Caenorhabditis elegans: one gene and its partners. The protein of the gene in region 4 interacts with the protein of the main gene of each other region in a pairwise test. Each region holds a gene or a part of one and is shown on either strand. Other genes may lie near its edges.

Region 1 (6,461 bases), 3.0 Mb from region 4:
CGAAATTCTTACTCGGTCGCATCATCCTGGCTTATTGAACTTGTAGAGAGGGTTTTATCTACAGATACTTGTTTCTTGTTGAATTCAATAGTACCGTGCAAGGTATTCATGAAAACAGCATTTCTTTCACAACTCTTCTTGTATCTCGCATTAATTGATGCCAAGGACTCGGACATGATGGTGTTTGCTGTGTTGCTAGGTGGTTCTGTTATTCCAGCATGTTTAACTTTCCCCCCAGCAGTCATTGTCTCAATCAACTTTTCAGCAGTAACCGTGTACTTTCCCTCTGGATCATCGTCCAACGTCATATCCTCTCTGAAATTCAAATATTAAGATCCAACGGATGCAAGCCACGAAAATTACTCTTCGTCTTTTGCCATCCAATAAATCATCTTTCCTTTCTTCAATTGCGAACGGGAAATCGGTTGTTGATACCAACTGGCTGGGAACAGGGCTCTTTTGTCGTCAGTGGTATTCACAACTGAAAATAAACACTCCGATTTCTGTATTGTTTCGTAGTTTTACCGAATTTCTCCATCGGGGCTGTTGGCTCTAAAACTTCTTTTTGCTCCATTGTTTCCACTTTTGTTTGCTTGGGATCGACAGGGGCAGCGTATAAGCTAAAATATGATAATTTCTACATAAAACCATTCGACCCATTGAAACCTTTTCATCTGATCGTACTCTGCTTGGGACTTTTTTATGTTGTCCTGTTTATCTTTCCTTTGCTCCAAACTGATTTTCTGTTTCTTACGAAGAGCGTCCAGTTCCTTTTCACGAGCTGCCTAAAGTTCATGGTTAAAGTAAATTTCTCTATAATCTCTATGTTACGTGATCACGAATCGACACAAACTTTTTTTGTGGAGCCAAAGTGGATAAGTAGTATTCTTTCAATCGTCCAAATTCTACATCAACTTTCACTCCTTGACGATTGACAACCGTATTGGCTCGTTGCATCTTTGGATGGCGCTGAATTTCAAGAAATAATGTATTTCTTTTTAACTTTTTAGATGGATAGTAAAAACCGTAATTAAGCACTTCCTTTGCGCGGCGAGATATATATATATATATACTGTATGCTTACCACGTCTGAATTTTTCGATTTCGAAACGTATTGAGACTGCGTATGAAAGATTTCAACTACTTGCTCCTTTCGAAATTCTTCCCAATTTTTCAGTTGTTTCTGAGCATCCTTCCTGGAAACCAAATCAGATAAGTTATTACATATACATCAATTTATTTAATTACTTGTGAGTTTCATACTGATCATCACTCAGTTTATACCGCTGCTGCATCTTCTTTTTGTAGCTCATCTTCTTCGCCTGTTTCTTTTCATAATCAGATTTCTGTTTATCAGGCGATGGTGATAAACTGAGCTTTTGGAGTTTACCTGAAAGCGCTCGATTTTACTTTAAACCAAAAACTCATCATACTTTTTAAACCAGAGAAATTCATGCTCGCTATTTTTGACTCGAGCACTTGTGAAATGATGCGTGTGAATACTTAGACGTGAATAGAAGGATTAAATGGAAGTTTATTTATCGACTTCACGCGAAAATAAATAAAATTTACACCGAAAACGTGGGTTGGAGAGAGTAAAATGTTTTGAAAAGAAGGATACAAATAAGTTAAACATGGAGATACTGAAACGCATCCTGCACACCGGGGAAAACTTATTCATATTGACAGTTAGTCTCGGCAATCGACCAGTCACCAATAATCTTCTCTTCTTTACCCAAAACGACACCTTCTGTCGCATCAACACGTCCGATTTCGAACTCATTGTCAGCGACGCAGTCGTGGTAGAGAGTAAGTTCAAGCGATTTGCGAAGCACGGCTTCTGCCTCTTCACGGGAGAGGTCTTCTCCCTTCTTTCTCCACTCATCTTCAACAGCTTGGTTGAGGAGGAACGCTCCAAGTCCAGTTGCAATGTGCTTCACTTGATATGCGCATCCCTGAAATTTAGAATAATTATTATGTGATTATTTAATCATGAGATTCTGATCCGGCAAGTTAACGCTTTCAAGTTTACCTTCTGAGTAATGACACCGATGAAAGGTGTGCTAGTCTCCTTGTTGTTCTTCTCCTCCTCTTCGACTCCGGCGACAACAAGTGTGTTCCACACTGGGTTCATCTTGCAACGTCTGAAATTTTTTACTTAAACTTTCAATTTAATTAGGAAAACAGACTTGGCGTAGAGAAGGCTTGTGAGGTATCCGTGGAGAGCTTTTGGTCCAATATCCTGATCGAAGCGCTTCCAGAGAAGAACCTGACGCTCGATCACATTTTGAAGCCAGTGGAAGTCAGCGTGATCTCCTCCGAAGGCAATGAGAACATTATCATTGACCTTGTATTGACGAGAAACATTCTGGAAACAAATATTATGAAAATCCACTTTCAGCTGAACGGAAATTCAAACCTTGTAACGAGCCATTTTTCCATAGGAAACAACTCGATCAGTAAGGACAACAACCCCAGTTTTATACTGGAGAGCGATAACCGATGTTCCGGTACAAGTAGGATTCCTGAAAAATTGAGTTAATTCAAACGAATATAGGTTTAATGACTTACAGTGTGCGCTGGACTTCGTCGTGAGCATTCATTTTGGTTCTGAAACAATATAAATGAAGTTTTTGAAGGGAGTGCTTTGAAAAAATGAAAGGAAGTGAATTTCGACAATGAAATGCAAAAATGGCGGCTAAGTCATCATAAAGCATGTGCGCTCCGTCGAATTTTACACTGAATACCACGCACAATTGCGTACTTCAATAAGAAAAATTATCTCGCGCTACTTTTTTTGAGATAATATTATAATATAAATTAATTCATATTTTATAAATATATTAATTCATATTTTATTCTTTTGAATTCTCACTGAAATTGTGAAACTATTTAAAATATAAATTGTTTCAGAAAAATGACCTCGGAGCTTAAAAATAACGAAGAAGACTACAACTCATCGTCCGATGAAGATTACGATCCAACAAAGGATACCGATTTTGATCCAAAGGATGAAGTAAGCATTCCTAGATATCGCCCTTTTATTGCTCATTCTCCTCAACAGATCGATGATCAAGAAGAATGCGAAGATGGAATTGACGAAGAAGTTGAACATCTGAAAAATGAAAAACAAAGTGACGACCATACATCAGAAAAGGCAAACAGTACTGAAGGAAGTGTTGATGTGGATGCGATATTTGCAGAATTAACTGGGCTAGCACCGAAACCAGTTGTCAACGATACATCAAGCAAGAATATTCCAAAAACTGAAGAAAGGGTGTATCCAAAATCAGCAGCGTATGTTTGAAACAAGTAGAAATAACTTTTAAAAATGTATTTTACAGATCTGCATCCAACGAGTCTACAAATCAGAAGGTTTATCCGAAAAAGTGAGTTGACATGAGTTTTTATTTGATACAAATTTAAAAACAACTTTTTCTTATTTTTCTAATAATTTTTTTCAGAACGGAAACAGCTGGAACATCGTCTGAAAGTAGCATTGTACCCGGAAAGAAAAGAGTCGGCTTGCTTGATGCTGCAAAATCACTGTCGAAGCGTTCTAAAATTTCTGTTTTGGAGAAATCTGATCGAGATTGGAAAGATTTTACGACGCAAAATAATTTAAAAGTATGTTTCTTTAAGTTTAAGGTTTTTGAATAAATTGTTTGTTTTTCAGGAAGATTTGGAATCTCATAACCGAGGGAAAGGCGGTTATCTGAACAAAATGGACTTCTTAAACCGAGCTGATAATCGCCAGTTTGAAAAAGAACGAGCGTTCCGTGCAACAGCTCGTAAGGACACTGGACAGTAAATAATTCTTTATTTTTTCAATTGAATCTTTTTTGTGATTTTCTGGTTTCTTTGACAATTCGTAACTTTGAAAAATTCATAAACCTTCTGTAAAGATACGGACATTGAAATTTAATCATGAACATATTTAATGGACAAAAACGAGAAAAATGGTAAAGGGAGACAATAACTAAATCTAGAAAAAGGATGAATCATGAAAAGGGAATTGTAGAAAAATCACATTCTAAAATAATTAAAATGAAATACAACAACTTTGGGAAAAGGTAGGTTACAGTTTTATAATACGAACTCGTTTGTTTTTAAGGACTTTTTGTGGAATTTTTGCGAATTGTTTCAGAACAAAAAAAAATCTGCTACTTGTTTTTAAAACTGGGATTCATGAGGAAAAATAGATAATGGAAAATAAGGAAAAATTAAGATTTGCTGGGCTTGAGGGGAACATGATGAAGACATGAAGTAGAGAGCACATAGTGGGATGTGGAGAGAGAAAGAGCTAGAAGGAAGCGAGAATTGTTTTTCTGATCATTGTGTTAATTTTACAAAAAAATGGATAGGAGATTGTGTTGATTCGATGATGACTTATGATGTTGATGATGGTAACGGCAAACAGAGAAAGAAAAGAACAGGAAAAAAGCGGATAAAGCATGAATTTTGAAGCACACAGAACAATTGAAAGAACAAGATATACTGGAAGATAGAAAGCTAAAACTAGAGAAATTATGACGAGATGATGTAGAAAGGTAATCAGATAATGATTGCAAATTGAGATTTTTTAAAAATTACAATGAATGGGTAGGCTGCATCAATTAGGTACAACTATTCTTCTAAATCGAGCTCATCATACAGATCTTCATCTTCATCAGAGAAATAGACCTGAAAGAAAAATGTGTTATTTTAAAATTAAATTTGTATTATTTTCAAACCACCGAAACACTTTTTATTTGCATACCTGGTTATTGATAACTCCAGAATTTCTATAATTGCTGTCATCAAAGCGTTCGCGTTTGATTGGTGGTCTAAAAAATTATTTTATTTTTACATTGAAGCCAGAATTTTACAAATTTTTACCCTCTGTTAACAGGTGCCTTTCGTTTCCTCTTCTTCTGAGCAGCGACATTTCCTTTGGCTCGTTCGAGACATCGGAATTCTAGAACAATTGGATAGATCTTTGAGAGTACTTCGAGAACATCGGCTTCCGATTGAGCTCCAGTGACTGTAATTGAGCCAGTCGTATGAATTCGAAGAGTAGCTTTTGGTGTCACAGATCTCCAAACAAGACCAACGGAAAGTTCAGGCTCATATGTGGATTCTGATGGATATTTTGCTGCGACTTCTTCGATTTTGATTCCGAATGGAAGACGGCACGTGGCCAGAACGTTGTTCACCTAAATTCCACATAAACTTAATAATTAGATAAATATTTTAAAGTTGCAAAATTTTATGGTATTGACAAACACACAAAAACGGTATCGCGCGTGGTGTCAGAATGTCCCATCACAGTCTGATCTACAAAAAATGAAACGTGACGTAGAGTTTCCAACTGGTGTCGCACGGTTAAGAATGTGCTGACGTCACACTTTTCTGAGCAAAAATACCCGCACTTATTGTAGATCACACCGTGATGGGACAACCTGACTCTACGTGGTATCGTAATTTTTTTTTTCAAATTTTGAAATGGCTCTTTAAAGGCTCACGACTTTCTTCAGATGGGTCTCGACGCGCAAAAAGTTTATTGTAGTCTTTTTCTTCAATGTTTGCGTTTTTCAATGAAACTGCACGGTTTTCAGCTTTAAAAAAAAATTCTGTTAAAAAATCTGTTTCCAAATGGGGGCACCACGGTTTCAAGATCTGGTGGATTCCGGTTCTACGTTTTCCAGATCTGGCACCAAAACGTAGATCCGGAACCCCACCAGATCTTGAAACCGTGGTGCCTCTCCAAATGTTCAAACTTCAAAAAAAAAAGAAAGATTACCATAAACATTTTGCGTGCCGAGACCTTTCTGAATAAATCCGTGCGCCTTTAAAAAGGCATGTAAAAATCTGGTGAAACTACGATACACGGTCAAATAATTTTAGTACACTAGTTTGCACGACTGACATTTTTACACTTTTCTTCAATTTAATTTAAATTTACAAGTAATAACTTTAACAAAAATGAAACATCTTTAAAAGAAAAAAAAACAAATCGGAAATGGCGGAAGCTACTGTACTTCTTGAAGGCGAACTTTTTTTAAATATTTTTTTTTTAATAGATAAATTTTTTTAATAGATAAATTGAAACTTTTCAAAACTTGCTCGATAATTTCTAATCGAAACTCGTTCTTTCGTTTTTCCCATAACTCGCTGAACATGTCTGGCAATTGAACGTGCAGCTCGTTTACAATCCGCCTCACTCCGGCAACCAACAATATATACTTTTCCAGAACTATATACTTTGATATAACAACCAGGCGATCTTTTTTGTTTCATCATTACTCCTTTTTCTCTTTCATATGTCACGTTATGAGTGTTCATTGCCAATTTTCGAAGATCAATGTGCAAAGGGAGTGTATAATTACAAACAACATTTCGAATCTGGAATATTTTCAAGTTTTGATGATTGATTGCTGTTAGAAAGTACCTGAATATCGATATCACCATCATCTGGCATT
Region 2 (9,134 bases), on a different chromosome or scaffold from region 4:
TCTTGAAAGTTGATAAAATGCGGAAAAGATGAAGTGCGCGGTAAAAAATGAGTTCTATATTAGTGTCTGCAAAAAGGTGTCGGACCCTAAGAAGTACAGATACAAAGATCAAAGATAGTTAGGTTAGAGACGATTGATACATTGTTAAAAAAAAAAGTGATAAAGTGATGAGAATATGTAGTAACAGTTTTTCGTATTTTGGTTATGCTTCAGAAAATACGAATGTGTAGGTGTTCTTGATATATATTTATAAATAGGTTAGGTACTGAACAATGATTCATCAATGGATTAGAACGGCTTATTTGTGATTTTACTATGTTGCAAAATTTCCATCATGACACATTATTGACGAATAGTTCAGTTATAAAATGGATATCTAATCTAGGAATGGTCAAGATACGAGCAAAAAGCATAAAAACATTTCCTTGAAAAATTACACTTGAGAGTAATATTAGAAGTCGAACGTCTTCACAAAAACGCGTTCATTTGCTGTTCGGCCAGAAAAGTACTAATAACAGGAAAGCGATTAGTTCAAAAGTAATTATTCAAACTCTCTGGTATGATGTATTAATGGAAGCCTGGAAGGAAAAATAATTTGATTAACCAAAGTCAATATTACAAAAACGATGTCAAATCGCTCGCTCTTTGATTTCCCCGTTTTATGATTCCCGCGGTATTATTCCCGCGGTTTCCATTTCATGACCGCCGTCGCCCCATCATTTACATAATTCGATCAACTCTTCCGTATATAAGACTATTTCTTGGCCTCTTGCAGCACCCCTCAATCATTCAGTCAATCATTCAACCAACTTGTATTTGCTATTATTATTTAATAAATATTACTTTGGGAATCACGTTTAAGATCTTAACCTGTCCTCAGGACAATAACGATGATGTCTGAAAATATAAAAATAAATATCTGTATGTACAAAAATAACCAAGCTTTATGAATGCGATCTTTTTTCCAACGCTAATATTTTTCTTCTCACGTTTCTGAAAAAACCCGTTTGAAAATAGAATTTATCATTTATATATTTTTTAACTTGTAACACTGTTTATGTTCTTTATGCATATTGAAACTGTTTCAGTACGTACCGAATCTATAGACGCGCCGAGGCCAATAATCGATAATACAACGAGGTGGTCCATATTGTGCGAGTAACTTGTGACTACCTGTAAGAAAACGGGCTAAACGGAAGAACAACGTTCAAAAAATAATTCATCCCTCCAAAATCCACAACAAACGGTTTGCAATGTATGCATATTTATTTATAGGCGTTTTTCAAATACATTGGGTACATAAGAGATCTTGGTCAATCTTTCACGAGAGGAGAGTAGAAAAATATGTTATAACATCACATTAAGAGAATAATCTGGTGGAAAAATCAAAATAATCACTAGTAAAGGTGACGAAAAAAAAAAATTTAAATTACAATTTTTTAATTGCCGAAGAGAAACTTGTTTTGAATTCAGATAGGGCAAGAAAATATGGAACATTTAGTAAAGAAACTATTATAGGAATCGGAAACTCTGACACATCCTTCAAGATCTACATGGAAAGTAAGATGTGCCACAAATGAAGATGTCGAGGAAAAGGATTTTGTTCTTGAAGGATTTTGACGATGGCAACAAGAAATATTGGGTATTGCACCCTTGTAGTACAACGAGTACATATGTTCTATCATGTTTAATCAATGAGTTGTATGAATCTCCTAGAAGGGGGAGATAATTTAGATAATGGAGGGGTGCATATACTACATAACAATTAAAAATAGCATTGATCCCATGTTATCTTCTGCTGACAGTCTAAACAACTGATAATTGTATACCTGCATCTGATTCTATTTTTAGTTTTACCTATAAATCAGCAAACTTGGTTAATAAATACCAATATACTTTAATGAAAATTCGTGTTAAGGAGTGGTTTTCTGAAACTGTACAACACTTTGATTGAAAGCTTGTTTGAATGTTAACTGGCTTGTATGTTTTGATGTTATATTCAATGGGCTGTGAAACAACTTTATTGTAGAATTTAAGAATAAAAATTTAAACCACATTGAAAATGCAAATTATGGCAGTGAATGCTATTAAAACATAAATTTCAAAGATAAAACAAACTTTAATTTAACCTATCGTTGAAAGGCATTTGCATAATGGAAGACGTGAAAAATACAATTAATTGACTAGATATAGAGATTCGACTATTTGAGGCGGTGTTGTATGAAAGTATTGAATATAAGTACAAATTGAAAAACATAAATATGAAAGAAATGGGCGATGTAACCCTGTCTGACTGATTTTTTTTAACACAAAAAATTAGCATGGTGGCTTTGGTGGGCACTGAGTCAATCCACGGCATTGCTGGGATTCTTCGGCAAGACCGATGCAGTGACATCCGGATTCTCCAACACATTGACGGCTTCTGTAAGATATAATTCAGATTCTTAACATGTCTTCATCAAAAACTATTTCAGACCTAGATTGTACTCCAACTTCGCATGCAAGTTGTGTTGAGCATGGACTCCATTCGCACCTGGACATTTGAAAAAACTAATTAATACCAATGTAACAGTTTTAACTACCAAGTATTCCAAGCGCATTGAGGAGCACATGACTGACTGTTACATTCCTTTTCTTCACGATCTGGTCCATCGCAGTGGCATGATGAATCCGGACTTCCAGCGCTGTTCAAACATGTACGAGTGCGAATTGACTGTAATTCATTATTACCCCGTTCTGAACATATATTCAATATATCTCACCTGACCACCCCCGCATTCCTTGTCGCACATGGACCAGTGACACCACTCAGACCAGTTGCAGCAAGATTGCCCTTCGCAAAGGGTAGTTTCAATACTTGGTCCTTGGCAAGTAGTGGCTTCTTGCCCGTTTGGTCCAAGGCACCCACGAGTTCTAGTCCGTTGTCCGGGTCCGCACTTTGAAGAGCATCCTGACCACTCGCACCACTCTGTCCACTCGGCACATGGAGGTCCGTAGCAGAATTGGCTCTCTTCGTTTGGTCCTTGGCAATCAGTTCCAAATTGGCAGACACGTTGTCTCCGCTTCATTCCGCTTCCGCATGAAGCCGAGCATGTAGACCACTCTTGCCATGGAGACCAAAGAGAGCATGGTCCACCATCACAGGCACGTTGTTCAGTCTTTGGTCCTTGACAGAGATGATCACCGAAAACACCTCCGAGACATGTACGCTGACGAACTGCGACTCCTTGTCCGCAAGTCACAGAGCATTGTCCCCAATCTTCCCATTGAGACCATTCTGGGCATGGTCCAGCACTGCATTGCTCAGATTCGTAGTCCTTTCCTTCACATCTGTTTGTACCAAGATGACAGAATCGAGTTCTCTCGCGTTGACCTGATCCACAGCTAGCAGAGCAAGTTGACCACTCGCACCATTCAGACCATGTCTGACATGGGCCAAGATTACATGGCTCAGTCTCATAATCAGCTCCTTGGCAGTTATTGGTGGAGCATTCACGTCTTCTTGATTTAGCTCCATCTCCACAGGTGCATGAGCAGGTAGACCAGTCAGACCAATCATGCCAAACTCCAGAAACAACTGGTGGGTTGACACATCCTTGTCCATCGCATGCTGGCGGTGGTGGGGGAGCTGGACGATATCTGGTTGGGTAGGGCTGTGGAAGTGGTGGCTGAGTGGCAGTGTTGATCACTGGAGCAAGAACTGGCGGTGGTGTTGGGCGTTCTTGTTGTGGGGCCTGTGGAACTGGGGCGCAGAAACCTCCTGGGCATGGATCAGCCTTTGGACGAGCTGGATGTCTCTGATTGAAGTTCTCGCGGTATTGAGACATTCTCTGCTGATAGAGTTGAGCATGTTGATCGAGTGGAGAACGCTCAAGTTCTGGTTGCTGCTGTGGCTGCTGCTGTTGCGGATGTTGTTGTGGAGGGACTGGCCCACTTTGGAGTTGGATTTGAGATTGTCCGAACTGTGTTGTCTGTTGTGGCTGTTGCTGTGGATTTTGTTGACGTTGCTGCTGTTGTTGCTGCTGTTGTTGTTGTTGCTGCTGTTGTTCTCTCTGCCTTTGAAGATGAAGCTCGTGAGTTCCAGAGAAGGACTGTGGCTGTTGTGGTGGTCGCTGTGGTGGCTGTGGCTGTGGTTGTGGCTGTGGCTGTGGTGGACGTTGCTGCTGCTGCTGTTGCTGTTGTTGTTGTTGTTGCTGGTGCTGCTGAAGACGAGCCTGATGTTCTCTGTGTTGTTGTTCTCTTTGTTGCTGTTCCCTTTGCTGCTGCTGTTGCTGTGCACTTGGGTACTCTGGGGCACGTGGCGCATACTGCTGCGCTGGTGGAGCTGGGACTCTTTGTGGAGCAGATCTAGCTGGACATCCACGACGTTGGATTTTTCTTCCGTATTCGCATGCCTGAGAGCGCACCTCGTGTCCGTTACTGGAGCAATGGGACCAATCTGTCCAATCTCCGACTCCTTCAACAGCTTCATCGCCTTGTTCTAAAATCACAACTTTATATAAACCGAAGTAACGATCGAAATCTTACGTCTCTTCTTTCTGTCAACCTTATCGGTAGACGAAGCCAAACCGTCCTCCTCCAGTGGTGGATGAGCATCAAATTGGTGGCAGTCGACGACCAGTTCGAGCATTCTAACAATATCTTTCTTGTTTTCTGGCTTTTGCTCGACAAGGTCAATTTTATCTTGAACCGAGTTGTCGGAGAAGAGGTAGCAGAAATGCTTCTTTGTTTCGTTATGCAAGTAGTAGTAAACCACTGAAAACAAGTTGAACTTTTTTGTGAAGTTAATGTTTTTTTAGTCTTCATGACCCCAAACGCAGAGATCAAATTTCGAAGACGGAGTTTTGCGAATCAAGGAGGGGCAGTGTAAATTTGCAAAAGCAATCAGTTAAAGAAGCAGAAAAAGAGATATTTGCGGATGAGTGTCATTTGTTATAGATATTGCTTGACACATCACATCAATCTTCTTGGGCCGGATAGGATCCGGTGCAAAAATGAAAATTTTACCTGCGGAGCACTCTGGGAAGATGTCCACGCATTTCTTCTGACACTCGTAGGCGGTTGCCTGCATCATCAGCAATGGAGATGATCCTTCTGAAATAATCAAAGTGGTACGTGGACACACACGAAGTTAATGACGGATAATTGATTTATGTTTGTTTTGCTGCAAACACCTAATGCGTGAATTGTCAATAAATGAAACTAAAACAATAATTTATTTTTCATCAATGATTTTAGAAATACTAGTTTTTAGATGACTTGTATCAATTTTTTAGTGAAACGCATATGTTAATTAGAAACCAATAATATTCAAAAGGAAAATAAGATTTTCAGAACAATACAGTTTTTAAAACCTAGAGAAGTTTAATGAATTATAGTGATGAGATAAAATATTAATTTTTCAGGGGAAATGACCTGATGTAATTCAATGAACTTACCAAGAGCAGTGTTGTTGTGCATTCTGGCGCACAAATCATCAATTTTTGTGACATTTTTTCCTCTGGATACCGAGATTCTACCTGAAACTTGTTTTTCTTACACTTGCGTATCAACTTCACTGTTAGTAATACCTTTTGTGTATGACAAGCTTGAGGTTCATGCTTTATTTTTTTACCTATTACACCTTACTTCTCGCCCTCTCATAATGAAAGCTGAACCTCAAACCAGTTTCCATCTATAAACATATATACTCACCTGCGTCGGCTAGGCAGAACAAGACCGCTAAGGCGAATAAGCCTACAGTAGCCTGCATGTTGCGGCTGATAATGGACGGGACCGCGGACACGAGAGTGCACAACAAGTGACTGACGATGATACTGGGCGGAGTCGAGAAACAAGAAGAGAGGTAAGAAAAAGAAGAAGATGAAGAGGAAAAAGAAGAAGAAGAAGCTGAAACATCAGGGAGTGATAAAAAGAATGAGGAAGGGGGTTGAAAATACTACTGTAGTATAGGAAAGAAGAGAGGTATCAACTTTTCTTTCTATTTTTTTTAAGGAAAAATGCTCTACGCTTCTACTCAAACCAAAAGTGAGGCTAAAGATCAAAAAGAGTTGTGCGGTGAGCAGAAAAGTTAGAGAGAAACAGGAAGCAGTAATGGATGCTGAGAACGTTTTCAAATCGAACTCAAAGCCTGCGAGTATGCATTGATTATGATCGAGTCTTGAAGAGTAAAATACTAGACCAAAACAGAAATTATTCAGAATTGAGCAAACCTGTGCGGGTCAGAAAGTCATGTTGCCTTCAGGAAGTAGCAAAGATTAAAAAAAAACAATTAATTTTAAAAAGTATACAAACTTTCAAGTGAAAAAAAAAACAAAATTGCTTTTCTCATAGGTAATCTGTTTGAAATTGGAATTTGTTGTTCCTATTCATATGTCTTTTGGTGTATTAAAACCCCATATCTAAACAAAATAAGTTCTCCTCCCTATGTCGTCACATATCCATCAACTCCACTTTGAGTGATATTTTATCCTCGGCACTTTTCTTCGTTTCACAACACAACACAACATTTCGCACACATTTTTCATCCTCGTTATTTATTGCACAGTTGTTCAATTTAAAATCACTTTGAGGAGGTCCACCGCGGTCATTTGTTGCTCGGAAACTATACTATAATGTTCGAAGATGAGATTGATGACATTCTAGGAATCGACTCAAAAACTCGAAACTTTTGGTTTCTTGACAAACCCATATCATGCGAGCTTTTCGAGGTTGCAAACTTCAGGAAAGCATGCATCCGAAACGTCGAAATTTGAGCGAGCTGCTGACAAGTGCTGATGAACAAATCATATCCTTCGTGTTTTAATAAAAGCTTGGTGGCTGATGTGTCAGGCGAAAAACGAAAAAGAAAAGCAAAGAAAAGATAAGAGCAAGTCAGAAGCGGTATGGGCAACGGAAGCACACGCGACAATTTTTTCCACGAATCAGTGAGAAGCGAAGAAAGAAGAAGTTCAGGTGAAACATGAGATTCTGCTGAGAAGTGAGCAAGACAAGAGCAAAGCAGAGAGTTTGGAATGAAGCAAGTATGAAGATTATATGATTGATAGGCGGTGACTCATTAAGGTGGAATTACAAAAAATGTGAAGAGCTCATTCTTAATCACTACCAGTTGTGGGTGAATAAAATGGAGTTATGGAGACAATAATTTATGATTTAAAATATATCAAATCACTAAAAATTTCACTGTAAGTATTAAAAAAATACATCCAAAACCAGTCGTCTCATTTTGGCAGTTGGGCACATTACAACGCTGAATGCAATTTCAAACTCAATCGAAATTATGCAGCCGTAAGAATCAAAAATACTGTGAGAGAGTACAAATTATCGGAAAGTAATTTTAAAAAACTGCCCCCCCCCCCCCCGAAATTCAATGTGCCACTTCTCTTGGTTTATTCTACTTTCAGTCTCCAATTTAAACAAAAATTAGATTTTACACTCATTTCATATTCTGATTTTTATCCCAGACTGCATGTGACCACGTCACAAGTGTCACTTTTTGATTTTTCCGCAGCATTTTCTTTACGTTCATCATCCCTTAGCGTATCACAAAAATTTATTACACTTATATTACGAATACGCAAATCATATGAGCCAGACATGTGCAACAATGTGGAATGAAAAAATACATACAAATATACAAATACACAGAGGGTCGGGTGAACATTTAAAACTGAAAACCAAACTCAAAATTCAAAAGAAAAACGCATCTAAATCGCAAGACATCGGCAGTCGTATAAAGTGTTGTAGGTGTAACGGAAGTTCATGCACTTGCCAGGGCAATATCCTTCAGGATCCATACATTTTCTGCAGAACAAAAACTTAATAACTTGCTGTCAGTGTCAACTTCTCTCAAATATTTTTTTCAAATAATTTACGCAATCTTAACGTACCTTGTAAAAGTGTTGAATCCGCAAATGTGTGGAGCTAATGTACCTCCTTGGACATTAGGGACAGGGTTGTAATCAGGAACTATTCCTGACCGTATATTTCCCTGCAAAGCAAAAATGTTATATGTTCTCAAAAAAAAAAACATTTTTAAGCAATAAAAATTGTTGATGTTTACCTAGCTCACCTGATTTGCTCCATACCAGTGATTTGGGGCATACGGCCATTGCGACAACACTGCACCAACCAATAAACAACTAACGATGTAAATTTTAACAGTCATGAGATGGAAACGATGAAAAGTGATGAAAGTAAGTGAAAAGAATAAAAGAAAGGCGACGTGATGATGTTGTCAGTTAGTGAGGTAAAACGAGGTGAACACGAAGATTGATGGCGTCATATGTATCACAGTTTTTGTAATGGTTTCGTTCAATTTTTGACATGAATTGTTTCAGAAACCGGTGTATTTGAACCCTGACACTCATGGTGATTAATTCTGTTTTCGAAATTAAAAGGTGTTGAGAGGTTGGAAAAAACAATACTCACCAACATTCAAATAATTGGAAAATTAAACTTTCTATAAAAATTGTTCTGTAAAATTTGTTCATTGACAAAAACTGTTACTGTTACTCTATCGTATAAAACTATCATGTGTTTTATTATACAAGATAAGATAAAGCCTCTTTTAAAATGTTATCCGTCATAATGCATTTTAACAATTTTTACTAAATTATTATTATTAATTTGATCGTTTGGGCAATTTCGCTCATGTTCTTTGTTGGTGAAAAACTTTACTGAATGATAATTATTCTAATAAATTATTGCACATTTATTTCCAAAAAAATTAAACTATGTTGAAGTTTAGACATTTCAGTGATGTGTGTATAACAAAGAAAATGTTTCAAATATATATTAAAACTGCTTTCAGACACGCCATCATTATTGCTTACTTCCGTTTGTTTTGAAATATTTTTCAAGCAAATATGAACCTAGGTACGTTTCTGCCATAAAACTTTCCCTTTTACCAAGCAGAACCCAAACGCATGTTGCTGTTGTGATCGTTCCGTAGGTCGCATAATAAAAGTATCTATAAATTGTTATCAGCAAGTTCCAATCGTGTCCCTGTCATGTTTAACTAAAAGTAGAATGCGTGTCATGAATTCTGAGGTAACCTTAAAATCACTAATGTCGTACATGGTCTTAAAAAGCCAAACCCTAAAGGCGCAACAAAAATGACGTACGATAATAAA
Region 3 (6,839 bases), on a different chromosome or scaffold from region 4:
CGAGAAATGTTTTGAAAATATGCATTTCTCTATCAACTTTCATAGATGCGAATAAAAATTCAAAACAATTTTGAGGTACTTTTCAAAAAAAATGTTCAAGAAGAATTGAAATATTCTGAAAACATCGAAAAATCGGATAGCGGAGAGCGTAGGCACATTCGGGCGGGAATTTAAATATTCACTTTTTTTTTACAAAATTGAAAAATCAAATCAAAAATAATTTATCTGAAAACCCAAATGATTTGCGTAAACATTTGTTTGGTTAAGATTTGGCAGACCATGTCAAGATGGAGTTAGAAATTGGTTCAAGAAGGAAATGGAAGAAAAATATGTAAAAGGATGGAGAAAAATGCATAAAAATGTCAACGACTTCAAGAATTGGTTGACATGTTCTTTTCAAATATGTTTGCCAAAATAACCATTAAAATGTTTTTGTATTCCCAAAAAAGGACAAGGAAGAATTTGGAATTGGCACTAGAATAGGTGAGGTCGACAAAAAAAATCGAAAAAGTGTCACAGTTTGAATTTAAATAATCTGGAAAATAAATAATCTGAGAGTATTCAATAAGAAAAACAGAAGGGAGGTCACTTTGAACAGCGAAACACGAAACTTTTCGGATTTTTAAATTTTTTTACAATTCAAAAAATGCCCCAAAAAACGGAGCAACTTATTCAAGAACTAGTTTTTTATATTCAAAAGCTTGATCTCTCTCATAGAATACGAATTCGTTGTCTTCTTATTTAGTTTAAATTCCAAAAGTTTCAATTCAAGTGTGCTGCTCCCCTTCAAATTTATTTCCTTGTCCCTCCGTTATCCTCTTACCAGAACTACTTGAAAAAGTCACTCGAATTCTAGTTTTTCACAAAAACACCCCGGGGTTCTGCAAAACGATTTATGGGAATTTTTGAAAAGACGGACCACCATTTGAGAGAGGAGAAACAAAAAAAGTTCTGCTGAACAAATTGGGGAAATGGGTGGGAGTGGACGCTTTTTTGGAGGGAAACAACTACATAAAAAACAACTAAAATTCAGCTTAACTGGGAGTTGATTGCTCCATTTTTTTGCGGGACATTAAAATTTAAAGACTCGAATTTCGCGAAAAATTGGAAATTCCTTCGAATTTACGAGAAATAAGTAAAGTGCTGAAATATTTATCCCCAGAAAAAAAAGTCCAAAATCACCCGGCACACATTCAAAAGTAAAAACTCAATTTTGCTCCGCTCATAGAAATTCGGTGAAACGCGGAAAAGTATTGTGACTAGTTGCAGAGTCTCAACAAGTCATTGACTTTCACTAATTGAGTAAACGAGAACAAAACACATTGTAAGACAAAGAAAAGGCCCCGTCACATTTTTTGAAAGGTGTACTTTTTTTTGGGATTTTGTTTTCGAAACAATTATGTAGATGTCTTGAAAATATGAAAAGCTACTTGTTGATGAATAATTTATGTAAATTTCAGAAAAATATGTCGCTCTCAATTCGAAGTCTATGTAACAGAAAAATTGCAAAAAATAGTTTTAAAAGCAAAAAATAATTTGAAATTTTCATTTAAAAAATCGAAAATTTCCTACCTAAAAATATACATTTCAAAATTCAAAAAAATTACTAATAAACTTTCCCCTTCTTTTCATTGAAAAGTGCGAAAAAAGTTGGACATCTATTTATATATATGTAGCGATATGCATTTGAAGGGGTAACTTTTTGTCTCTTTTTCTCAATGCACTTTTCACCTCTTCTTGCTCTCACTCAACTACTACGTAGTAGCAGAACAAACAACAGGGACCAAGTGGGTCGAGTTTTCGATTTTTCCTTGATTCTGAAAACAAAAATTCGAAAAATACTAATCAATTATAAATTTTAAAACATTTTCGGTCATCTTCTATAAAATCTTATCAACATAATTTCAATACAACAATAGTTTTCTTAATATTTCTAATTGTTTTTCCGGGTCTCGAAATGATTATTCCTGAAAAACAGAGCTCGAAACTACAGTACTCTTTAAAGGTACATCCACCTTTTTTCCATTCAACAAAAAATGTTGTGTGAATACCAGGTACCAAATTTATTAGCTTCAGCACTTTTGAAAGGACCCATTTAACAAAAAAACTGGTAGTGAGAAACATTTATTCATCATTTCCTAGATTTACAGAAATACAATCTTCAAGAATTTTACTTCTTCAAACAACACTGCCCGGAGACATTTCCGCACGGCGAATAGTTTTGTTGACATCCGCACTGACTATTTTGCATTGGTTGACATGCCATTTGGGCCGGCTGATTACAGGATTGATTGCAGGATGTCGAGCAAGCTGGAGCACACTGTTGGGAGGCCGTGGTTCTAGTTTGGCACTGCTGTTGGCATTGTTGCTGGCACTGGGGAACACATTGGGAGGTCTGTGGGGAGGCTTGCACGTAGATGGTTATGGTTTGAGTGTTGCTGTTCTGGCAGGAGTTCTGACACTGCTGGCAGTTGGTGGAAGTTTGTTGAGAGCATTGTGGAGCACATTGTTGTTGGCATTGAGTTTGTTGGTAAGGGTTGTAGTAGTTTTGGTTTTGGTACTGGTTCTGGTTGTACTGATTTTGGATCTGGTTTGGATTTTGGTACTGATTTTGGTTCTGGTACTGATTTCCTTGCTGATTGTACCCTCCATACTGCATTTGATTATACGGATCCTGATTATTGTACATCATATTTCCTGTGGACCCACATTCCTGCTGGCACTGCTGCTGACAAATTGGCTGGCACTGTTGCGCGGTCTGCTGTTGAGTACACTGCTGCATGCATCGGTTCTCACACTCTGGAAGACAACTTTGCGACGCTGGAATTGGTGTGGAAGTCATCGGATTGCAAGACGATGTCTGGCAGGATTGCTGACACGTTGGCTGGCATTGAGTGTTGGTGTTAGATTGGCACTGTTGACTGCAGGACTGTTGACAAGCAGGCATGCATTGAGACGTCTGCAATTGATATTGCTGGCTGCTGGCGCAAGAGCATGGAGTTGAAGGTTGGCAGGAGCAGCTGTATTGTTGTGAGGCCTGCTGGCAGGAGCAGGTCGGCTGAACCGATTGAGCACATCCGCAGGAGGCTTGACGGGTTTCGCGGATTGAGGAGGCCTGAAATCAAATTGAGTTGAGAAACACGTCGTTAATTGGAATGCTTCTATCAATTTTAAACGTCACTACGAGATTTTTATCGGCCCACATTAAAACAGGGTCGGTCTACTTCCATATACGGGAATACAGATATTACTCTAAAAAAGGAGATTTTTCAGTTAATGATGTCGAAAATTGAAATTCGAAGAGGTTCAAAAACAGTCGTTAAAGCGCCAATTCACATTTCAAGTAGTTTTGTTAACACGAAATTGCGAAAAGAAAATACAATTATTAGGCTTTCTCTCAGCACTTAGAAATTATAAATTTTCAAATTCCTTACAATTAGTTTAAAATTGAAAAACTAACCTGAGCCACAGCCAAAGCAACTGCAAACAATATAATCACACAACGCATCGCTCAATGGGATTCTGTGAGTATACCCCGTGTAATTCTTGCCACTTTTATACTTTTTCATGTTGTTTACCAACCTACACTTTTGTTTCTAGTTAGACACGTTTTTTTTTCTTGAAAATCCTAATCAAAAGTTTACAATGTTTGCATTTTTCATTGACCCGATAAATCAACTTATCTTTTGTTTGTTTGTTGAGCATGATGGAGGAAAACTGGTTCTTAATCAGAGTTATTCATGTTTGTTCAGTTATTTTTGAAATAAATATATAAGTTTGAAGTAAAACAGAATTAAATTCTCAATTTATTATTCATTCCCCATAATCGTTTATTTGCATTACACTCTCCTCTGGCCAGCGCTATCTCTGTTCCTCTCAATTGTGTATACCTCCGTGAAGCATGTCTCTCGTGGCCGAATGGTCTAGTGGTATGATTCTCGCTTTGGGTGCGAGAGGTCCCGGGTTCAATCCCCGGTTCGGCCCATTCCTTTTGAAAAAAATTGAGAAAGAAACAATTTTTCAACAATGAAAAAAAAAACAAAAAAATCAAGCCACCTAGGGGACTCGAACCCCTGACCTTAAGATTAAAAGTCTCACGCTCTACCAACTGAGCTAAGGAGGCCACGGCGGCGGTGTTAGAATTGGTCTTTAGAAAACGGAATCGGGAGAGAATCGAGAGGCGCGCCTGGTGGTCAACTAGTACATCTAGTTGGCATGGAAAATTTTAATGTTTTCAAACATAAATATGTATTAATTGAACAAATATTTGTGAAAAATTTTGCATAAAAAATTGCTGTATAAGGTGTTACAACGGCTTTAAAGTTTAGTTTTCAATTATTTTTAATTGAAAATTTGACGCAAAAATGTTTAATTTCATCTTTCTAGTGTAAAGTTTATATTCAGTAATTTTTTTTCTCGATAACATAACTGAACTGTGTTGTTTCAAATAAAATATCTTCTATTCAGCAGATTTTCAAAACCGAAAAAAAATCCAGAATTTCAACACATCGATGACCAATTTAGTCTCATTTCCTGCCGTCACTTTCCCTCATTCCCGATTTTCTCAGTTTTCATTTCTGTTTCCCCTCCTTAAAAAGCGTCTATTCAAAAGGGATTTCCGTCGATCATAACCAGACGATATCGCTTAAATCGATCTAATAATGTTGGAATGTCCATTCTCCCCCCTCACCCGTTTCCTCACTTCTTTGCCTCCCTGTTGTTCTTGTTTTCTCCCGTATTGTTTTCCTAAATCTCGGACAAAAACTAGAGGCCTAAAACGTGGGCCTGATGAGGCCCTTACTCTCATGTTTCCCCGTGATTTTCGCGGTTTTTGGGCCGATTATTGCGGTTAAGCCCGTATGGAAGACGCCCGTCTCTGAGCCGAATCCAAATGCGAATCTCGAAGTTTTAAAGGGACACTCGAATTTGGCGAAGGTGAGTTTTTTTTTCAGAAATTGTTTTTGTAAATTCTGGTTTCTCTCGTGAAATAGTAGCATTCGTAAAACTTTAATTGAAAAATAAAACGCTCCAGCTGAGGCTCGTGTGTTGAACTAAACATTTTTGGTATATTGAATTTTAAAACAGGGGGACTAACTATAAGATTTAAAGGGATACCGAGAAATCCAGTTTTTTTTAATTTTAAAAGTATTTTAATTCAAACAACTTGGAACAGCTGCTCATGCCTTACTGGTCACACATTTTCACTCAAAAAACAGTAATTGTGGTTAAAACTCTTAAGAGCAGTGACGTCATAAATTGTCTTACACGGAAGGTGTCAAAATTTAAAAACTTTTGAAGCTTTTGAAATTCGGTTTCGACAATGTTCAGGCACCGGTAGAAAACCTGGTAATTTTTCGATTGAGTAAGACAGTTTGAAAAACTTCCAAAAGTCGTCAAGAACCCTATATATACCAAGTTAAGTAACCAAAAAATTTCCAAAAATGTCTTTGTAGAAGTTTTCCAACGTTTCTCAATTTCCGCGAAGTTTTGAGGTCTCTTAAATATCTGTAATGATTTGTTCAAAACATTATTTCTCAAATCAAACACTTCTATATTTGAAGTAAAAATACATAAACTTTTTCTATTCCAGCGTGCTCAACCGAACTACTACACACGTCCCGAGCAGGTCTCGATTCCGGAATACCGTCCACCTCGTCAACGTCTTCCACCGTTACCATCTCCAAAGATCTCATATCAACAAGTTCCTCCACATCAACTAACATCTGGTGGAAGCTTCCGACCATTCGCTTGGGTTGGCCCTCAACCAAAACCCGGCAGCCCTCAAACCAGTTACTATGAGAATTCTCCAAACAAGGGCCAATTTCCAAAGGGATTACCTCCATTGCCACCAAATTGGCAGCAGTATCCAGTGCAGATGATATGGATTCCAGACACGCCAGGACAAACTACTGGAGCGTACCCGTATTATCCGGGACCCGCTGGACCGCCCGTGCCAGTTTCAACAGGAAGCTATGGCCTGTATGGACCAACTGTGACAACCGAGAAGCCAATGGAACCGTCGGTCAATCCGGAAACGTATACAGGTATTTAAGGAAGAAGCGAGCTAAAATAATTGAAAGAATTTTTCAGGAACCGTCGCTCACAGTCCCTCTGCCAACCCTATCACCACTACTATACCTTACGAGCCCCCAAATCCATATGGAGGACAGACTCAGGTGTCCCCGTCTTCAAATTCCTATCCGGATTCAACAGTCTCCACTACTTCGAGCAACACGGAATCCTATGAACAGCCATCTACATCTCCCTCAGAAAGGCCTAGATCATCAACTCGGGATTTTGAAAATGGAAATGGAAAAACTGTAAATCCAACCATCCGCCCAGGACCTCAAGAGCTTAGTGGTGGAATTGGAACTTCTTCCAAGCCTAGACTGCCTAATGACGCCGACTACACTAGAGATGTAGAGACTGGAAGCTCTGAAGTTACAACTCCGTTTGGTAGAAACACGGAAAGCTCTACTCCTTCTAAAAGCCCAGGATCAACAAGTTCATCCGACACCACTCCGTCTTCTAACGAAAATGGGAAAGAGACAACTCCATTCGAGATGACCAAAAATCCATTCAACGATCTTAAAACCATCCGACCAATATATCTAGGTTCAAGTTCTGACGAAGAAGATGACGAACCGCTAGAGGATATCAGCAAGGCAACCGATTCCCCACATTCTTCAGAGAAATCTCAGATTCCTGGATCACCAGGTTCACAGATAAAGAATCCATTGAAACCCTCTTCAACGGAATCGGAAACTATTGGACCGGAATCCTCCGAGTCAGAAGACGACGGAGAGCGAAGCACGCCAACTCCACAAGAGGAGGAAGAG
Region 4 (7,152 bases):
CGCTCTTTTAGCCACAACAAAACAAATGTTTCTCATTTTCGACCAGTTTTTTGTGGAATTTATTTTCTTTAGTTTTTCAACTTCCGAGTGTTTTTAATTTGTTTTCTCCTGATTTGTTAGGATTTTTTAACTTTCAAAATGAATTTTTTTCTGCAAATTTCGGACTGAAAAAATACAAAAACATTGCAATTTTTTTCTTAAAAAATAATATTAAAATTAAATCCTAAATTGTAAATTTTACATGAAAATTAATCCAAAAAAAAGAAAAGTGTTGCCAAAATTAAATTGTTATTTAGATTAAAAAGAGGCAAAGATTTACCCCACAGAATTGAAACCGGTTCCGCAGAAAAATTGCCCAATTAGCGATGGGTCAAAAATCGCATCTGATCGGGTTGTTTTTGTTCGTCATGGGTACCCGCGTACCTGTGTCTAGACAATATTTGTTTCGGAAAAAAATTAGTGAAAAAAAACTTGTTTTGTGTTTCTAAAAAAAAGTGTTTCTCATAAAATCTATAAAATTCTCAAAATGGAAAAAAAGCTCTGTTAAAAATATATTAGTTAAAGAAAAAAATTTAAATTGCACGAAAATAGTTAAATTTCTTTAAATTTCTAAAAATCTACTCTGAAAAATAACCTGTTTCCCTGAAAAAAAATTCCAGAAAATTTCCAATTTTTTTCTCTCAAAAATGCTTTAAAACTCCGAAAATACAAGAAACCTTCTAAAATATTTTTTTAATATTGGAATATTTTCAAATTACACAAAAAAAAATTAAAAATGAATTTTGTTCGAAATTTTCAGAAAATCCAATTGAGCCTGTAAAACCTTTGTACACGGAAAAAACTCTAAAAATTTCCAAAAAAAAATTAAGAAACCCTTTGAAAAATATATTATTTTCCATTAGAAAATTTTAAAAATTTTATGAAAAATTTTTTTTTTTCAATTTAATTTTCTAATTTTCGAATTTTTTCAAGTTCTCAAAAACTTCTATGATATTATTTCTGAGCTTTCCGAGCAACTTTCGCAATAAAAAGTGACGTCACTCAAAAAAAAGTAGTTTTGTATTTTGTATATTTGCTGAATCACCACTGTTTTCTGTTCAAATTTCATTGGTTTTTTTTTCTCTTTCATTTTTCACGTTTTTCCATTTCTCTCCCCTACTTTCTCTATGATTCAAACACGTTTTTTAATTCAACAAAAAAAGCGAAAAAAAGTGTTGTTTGGCCTTAATCATATGTATTAAATGGTTACCATGGTAGCTATCGCAAGTAGACAGCTGAAAATCTTTGATTTCTCTGCGTCTCTCCTAATTTTTTGATCTTTTCCGTATTCCGGCCACGCAACCCTTTTGTTTGTGTAGTTAGCTGGCTGACTTATGATTTTTTGGAAAACTGGTGAAAATGTTTCGCCCATTTTTTCATTGAAAAACCATTCTTAGTATCTACTTTTTAGTGGAACCTCTGATAATATGATAAAATGGGTATATTTTAACTAAAACCCTAAGGGTATACATAATTCCAAAAACGTTATTTTTTTAAACAAAAAATTGCGAAGCACCAAAATGCTCCGTGAGCTCAATATGGAAAACACTGAAACCTAGGCAATATGGGGCTTAAATCAAAGCTCTTAAAAAGCTGAACTCAAATTCGTATTAAAAAAAAATTTAGTGATTGTGAATAAAATAGAAAATAATGTGGGTAATTTCAGACAAAATGGGTATATTTTAACTAAAACCCTAAGGGTATACATAATTCCAAAAACGTTGTCTGAAATTACCCACATTATTTTCTATTTTATTCACAATCACTAAATTTTTTTTTTAATACGAATTTGAGTTCAGCTTTTTAAGAGCTTTGATTTAAGCCCCATATTGCCTAGGTTTCAGTGTTTTCCATATTGAGCTCACGGAGCATTTTGGTGCTCCGCAATTTTTTGTTTAAAAAAATAACGCCATTGTTAATTTTTATCATAAAATTTTTATTATAAGTTCAGCTCCCTTAGAGCGTCAATTCAAGCCCCATATTGCCTAGGTTTCAATATTTTTCACGTTGAGCTCGCGAAGCATTTTGGTGCTCCACGGAAGCATGAAAGCGGAAATTTTCAAACTAAAGTAATCTATACAATATGGATGCCAAGTTTTCAAATTTTTAGTGAATTGAGCAGCAGGATTAATTACGATTTGGAGTGTTCTGTGCTCACGGAGCAACAGAGCCCTACATTAAGTTTGAGGTAGCATAGGCATTATGGGTGTCAAACTAAAGCTTTCAGCTAGCTGAATCTAGCAAGATTGAGCCCACATCTGAATTTGGTGCTCTGAGAGCCAGAAATAGAGGTTGTTTTAATCAGATTTAAAATTGTCTGTGCCGTGCACAAATTGCTTCTCCTTATTCCCCTCTAATCATTGAGTTGTATGGCGTCATTGAACTTTTGATATGTAAAGCTTTTTATTATGAAATTTGATTTCAGCTTTCAGGAGCTTGAGAGCCATATTTTCTAATTTTAAGAATGTTTAAGACTGAGCTCAATTGGTGCTCCGCGAGCTGAAAGCTTTAAAGCTGAAGTTTTGTAAATTTAGATCAAATTCGAAAACATTTTTGTGCAAGCTCACGGAGCATCTTTTTTTTCACGTCACGTGAATCACTATGCTTACCAGATTGTAGCGCTGAATTGTATCAGTTCCTGTTGCTCCGCGAGCCCATAAAAACTTTACTATTTGATTCTACAAAAAGTCTAGGTGCCCCAGAACTTTCCTCCTGCTGATTTTTATCTTGAAATTTTTTCTAAATCTACTGTGCTTTGTTCATTTTTCAAGTGTTTTTTTTTCAGAAAATAACCATGCAGCAACCAGTAATAAACCAACAACCGGGCTACAACCCACAGGGTATGAATCCAGTGCAACAATTCGAAATGCATCAGCAGCAGCACCAACAAGCAATCACAACTCAGCCAGGTGTCTTTGTGCAGCCGGCTCCTGGCTCCGTGTGGATGCCAATGCCACCAGCAATCCAAGGTGTGCCTACAGGCCTGGAGTATCTTACCTACTTGGATACAATCATGGTGCATCAAATCAAGGAGCTCATCGAGATTGTGACGGACTGGGAGACCAAGAACAAGTACGTGCTCAAGAATGCAAATGGAGAACAGTGTTACTACGCGTTCGAGGAGTCCGGATGCTGTGAGAGACAGTGCTGTGGACCGCAACGTGGATTCGTCATGCATATTGTGGATAACTTTAAGAGGGTAAGCTCACGGAGCATCTGGTTCAACAAGCTCGCGGAGCAATCCTGAGCCCAAATTTTCAGGCCTACCAAGCCAAAATTGATCCACATGCTCTGAAATTTCAAATTTTCCAGGAAGTTCTGACCATCAAGCGTGAGTTCAAGTGTTGCGGAGGTGGTTGCTGTGGATGCTTGGCATGCATCGGATGCTGCCAGCAGGAATGTATCATCGAGACCCCATCGATGGGTGTTCTGGGTATCATCCGTCAGCGGTGTGGATGCATGTCGTCGAATTATGATATTATGGATGGAGATGGAAATGTGATCTTCCAGATTGATGGTCCATGCTGTTGCATGCTTTGCGGATGTCAGGATAAGGAGTTTCCGGTAGGTGAAGTTCTAGGGTCCTGAGAGGTGTCGGCTGCAAGGTACATGCTAGCTTGTCTGATTGCAAGGTGCTGTGAAATGTCGGCCGCTAAATATTACCTGAGGCTGTGAATGTATTGAAAATCCCAAAATTTTCACCGGCCCTTTATCTGAGGTTTTGCCAGTGAGGCGTCGGCCGCAATTTACTAGGATTACTGGCCACCCGTAAAGTGTCGGCTGCTTGAACCACCTGCTTTGCTGACTTGTGCTGTGCAGCCGACACCTAGCGGCTTTGTCGAATAACCCAAGAAACAGCGGTTGCCGAGCAGCCGACACTTTGCGGGTCTGTCGGGAAGCCAGTGAGCTACCGGCTGAAGATCCTATCCCCCTAAAATGTCCGCTGCTTCAATACCCTCAAAATTTTCAGATCAAAACCGCCAACAACGGCACAGTTGTCGGCGCGATCACCAAAAAATGGGGAGGTTGCTTCCGAGAGGCGTTCACCGACGCCGACACGTTCGCCGTCAACTGTAAGTCGCCCCCGTCCATACAATCAATAATTCTTGCAATTTTCAGTCCCCGGCGACCTGGACGTCAAACTCAAAGGAGTACTGATAGGAGCCACGTTTTTGATTGTAAGTTTGGTTGCTGTAGAATTACTGTAACTTTGCTAATTTTTCAGGATTTCATGGAGTTTGAGCAACAGAGCCAAAACCGCAATAACGGAGGTTTGTGATTATCGCTTTTTGCTAACAGAAGTTTTTTTGTTGTGGAAATTATTGATTTTTGCTTAAATTATCAACTTTTGTCTAAAAAAAACTATTGATTTATGTGAAAATTATCGAATATTGAAAAAGGATTGGTGTCTTCCCTAAAATATGAATTTTCGTCCAAATTATTGATTTTTGGGATAATTATGGATTTTCGCTTGAATTATCAATTTTTTTTTGCTTTTTCAGTCTAACCGTCCGTCTGCTTAACCCTCTACCATTTGCTTTACATTTTTGCTGTGTTTTTCGGTGATTAGAGCATAATTTGGTATGCAATCCCGGTTTTTTGTCAATTGACCTTTTTTTAATTCCAGGAGCCTATTACAGTTCTTCTTAAAGGTACAGCAAGCTCCGCATGCTGCTGCCCCGATGGTTGTGATTGCAATTGTGACTGTAATTGTTAAAAGCCAACTTTTTTAAAAACGTTTTTCTTATTATTCCAACGCATTCTTCCAATATATGTATGACGTCACTTTCCTTCAGACTCCGCCCACATTTCCTTGTTAAGCCCCGCCCACTCTCAGGTCTCCAAGCCCCGCCCATTTCTTCTAGTTTTCAGTGTCTGTCCCACCCACTTTTTTCTCACAAAATTATATATCAAAAATAAATTGTTTTTGAAAAATCGATAATTCAAATAGTTTACTACATATATTGATTATTTAAAGTGTAAAATTCACGAAATGTGTATTTTTGCTCACTATGAAATGTGCTCCAAAACGCTTTGCTCCGCGAGCCCTTTGCTACAGGATCAGCTCTATTTGCAAAATTTTCAGGTTGAAAAAATGGAGCAAGAACTTCTTAACCCTGCTCCACCGGTTTACGTTGAACTGCAAGACCGAGCTGTTATTACAACTCAACCGGGAGCTCCGATACAAGCGGCTCCAGGATCCATCTGAATGGAAGCGCTCCCAGCAATTGAAGGGGTTCCCGCCGGCCTAGAGTACCTTGCATACTTAGATGAGATCATGGTGTACCAAGTGAAAGAGATGTTTGAAATATTTACCGGCTGCCCTAAAAACCAAAAAAACTCACAATCAAAAACGTGGCTCCAAGGAGCACAGCCTTGAGCTTGACATCAAAGTCGGCGGGGACTGATAATAGCCAGGGGTTATTTTAGCTTTTTTCAATTAAACCTACATAAGACGGCAAAAGTGTCCGCGTCAGTGAACGCCTCACGAAGTACACCACCCCACTTTTTGGTGATTGAACCGATGAGCTCATAGTTATCGGCAGTTTTAATCTGGAATTGTCTACGCAAGTGGCCATTTTCCTGCTGAAGATTCACCATAAAATCCTAATCTTCACAAAAGCATTGTGTACAACAGTCCGGCCCATCAATTAGGAAAATCACATTTCCATCCTTGTCCAAAACATTATAGTTAGTGGATACACAACCATGTCGTTGACGGACTGTACCCAGAAGACCTATTGAAGGAGATTCAATAGTACATTCGTGTTGACTACATTCAAATGATCCACAGAAGACACCTCCTGTTGTGACTTGGGCCTAACGCTTCCCCTGCGTCCCAACTTTGCAGATATATGACCGGTCAGGCTCACCCACTCGCCACCACTCATTATCCGCGAATACATTCACTCTCCGTTGTCCTTTTCCGTTTATTATCTATTAATAATAATTCCCTTTTGAATTACCGCCATTTGCGTATTTCCCGATGCAAGCGCGCTCCTCCGAGACCTCCCGTTACTCCGGAGCGTCGTAGCTCCGTAAATCCACACAATAATTCTATCCTACTTTTAGGCCAATCGTTCATTCTGTTCTACCTTCACCAGACGAGTCAGCGGCTACCCATCCGCAGACACTGTGATTCAGGACCTTTCTTCACCATTTCCATCCTGATAATCACTTTAATTCCTATTTATATCCTCTGAATAAACTGGAATTCGTCTGAAACTGTGTACTGTTATTCTCTCCGCACCGCTTATCACCAATGCCGCTCGAACATTGCTCCGTGTCTCTCCGCGCGTATCAGAATACGCTCGGTAGGGTGACTGACTCCCCTCTACTGGTCCCGAGTGTCAACATTGGTGCATCGACCGTTGCAGCTCTTGATTTTCACTAAAAAATCGAGCTGTATTAAGAATCTGGAGTCAGGCGGAGACACGCGGCGCGGTAGCGTGCGTGTAGAGTTAGTACACAGTGCATTTTTTACTACAAAATCCGGAACAGAGTATGTGATTGCGCGTCGTGGTGTTTACGGACTCCGTAAGTGCGCTCCACTGAACATAGTATTTTTTAATTATTTTTCGCTGTTATTTTTAATGTTTTTTTTGCCTTTTTCTTGTTTTTTTTGTCTTTTTTGTGAAAAAATTGAAATAAACATAATTTCTGATTTACAGAGTACAATTGTCACTTTGGAACATCCAAGAAAGCTAAGATCGACACGATCGAATGGAAAAAGTCGAAAAAGGTATGTTTTTTTAAAAGAAAACCCCATTTTTTTTCTCGAAGAAGTTTCTAATTTCTTTATTAAATCGTCGGTACGGACCTACTAATCGATTTAAAACACTCGAAACCTTCGGTTATTATCTCAGTCTATTTTTATTCTGCAAAAATATCGAAAATACAGTGAAAATCCGAGGTTTTTTGAAAAAAAATTGATTTTTTCTCGAAGAAGTTTCTAATTTCTTTATTAAATCGTCGGTACGGACCTACTAATCGATTTAAAACACTCGAAACCTTCGGTTATTATCTCAGTCTATTTTTATTCTGCAAAAATATCGAAAATACAGTGAAAATCCGAGGTTTTTTGAAAAAAAATTGATTTTTTCTCGAAAAAGT

Evidence for each region.
Region 1: the proteins of scrm-1 (region 4) and pbs-7 interact in a two-hybrid assay, tested with the Caenorhabditis elegans proteins (2 studies listed by BioGRID).
Region 2: the proteins of scrm-1 (region 4) and T21B6.3 interact in a two-hybrid assay, tested with the Caenorhabditis elegans proteins (2 studies listed by BioGRID).
Region 3: the proteins of scrm-1 (region 4) and pqn-71 interact in a two-hybrid assay, tested with the Caenorhabditis elegans proteins (one study listed by BioGRID).

What each region holds. Positions count from the first base shown.
Region 1 is NC_003279.8:8,693,690-8,700,150, forward strand, and holds pbs-7 (Proteasome subunit beta), read right to left. Parts: upstream 2,613-6,461; 5' UTR 2,604-2,612; coding exon 2,572-2,603; intron 2,526-2,571; coding exon 2,420-2,525; intron 2,369-2,419; coding exon 2,190-2,368; intron 2,145-2,189; coding exon 2,033-2,144; intron 1,956-2,032; coding exon 1,674-1,955; 3' UTR 1,516-1,673; downstream 1-1,515. Other genes in the region: K07A12.5 (Pre-mRNA-splicing factor SYF2), read right to left, coding at 13-315, 364-481, 526-620, 667-785, 832-969, 1,085-1,196, 1,249-1,390, 1,434-1,455; F39H11.1 (Craniofacial development protein 1), read left to right, coding at 2,918-3,016, 3,065-3,297, 3,345-3,389, 3,465-3,627, 3,677-3,811; tlf-1 (TATA box-binding protein-like 1), read right to left, coding at 4,627-4,683, 4,760-4,826, 4,879-5,195, 6,106-6,384, 6,431-6,461.
Region 2 is NC_003284.9:10,943,151-10,952,284, forward strand, and holds T21B6.3 (Apple domain-containing protein), read right to left. Parts: upstream 5,803-9,134; 5' UTR 5,753-5,802; coding exon 5,695-5,752; intron 5,520-5,694; coding exon 5,439-5,519; intron 5,175-5,438; exon of another isoform or gene 5,111-5,174; intron 5,095-5,110; coding exon 5,008-5,094; intron 4,756-5,007; coding exon 4,528-4,755; intron 4,481-4,527; coding exon 2,763-4,480; intron 2,714-2,762; coding exon 2,583-2,713; intron 2,534-2,582; coding exon 2,477-2,533; intron 2,423-2,476; coding exon 2,317-2,422; 3' UTR 2,010-2,316; downstream 1-2,009. Other genes in the region: K09C8.7 (uncharacterized protein), read right to left, coding at 7,707-7,803, 7,890-7,990, 8,072-8,167.
Region 3 is NC_003283.11:15,462,370-15,469,208, reverse strand, and holds pqn-71 (Prion-like-(Q/N-rich)-domain-bearing protein), read right to left. Parts: upstream 3,533-6,839; 5' UTR 3,509-3,532; coding exon 3,461-3,508; intron 3,116-3,460; coding exon 2,171-3,115; 3' UTR 2,109-2,170; downstream 1-2,108. Other genes in the region: rocf-1 (ZP domain-containing protein), read left to right, coding at 4,789-4,935, 5,591-6,044, 6,091-6,839.
Region 4 is NC_003279.8:11,686,503-11,693,654, reverse strand, and holds scrm-1 (Phospholipid scramblase), read left to right. Parts: upstream 1-2,824; 5' UTR 2,825-2,833; coding exon 2,834-3,238; intron 3,239-3,351; coding exon 3,352-3,603; intron 3,604-4,009; coding exon 4,010-4,112; intron 4,113-4,158; coding exon 4,159-4,217; intron 4,218-4,264; coding exon 4,265-4,310; coding exon of another isoform or gene 4,311-4,318; exon of another isoform or gene 4,319-4,541; coding exon of another isoform or gene 4,542-4,546; exon of another isoform or gene 4,547-4,666; coding exon 4,667-4,689; 3' UTR 4,690-4,973; downstream 4,974-7,152.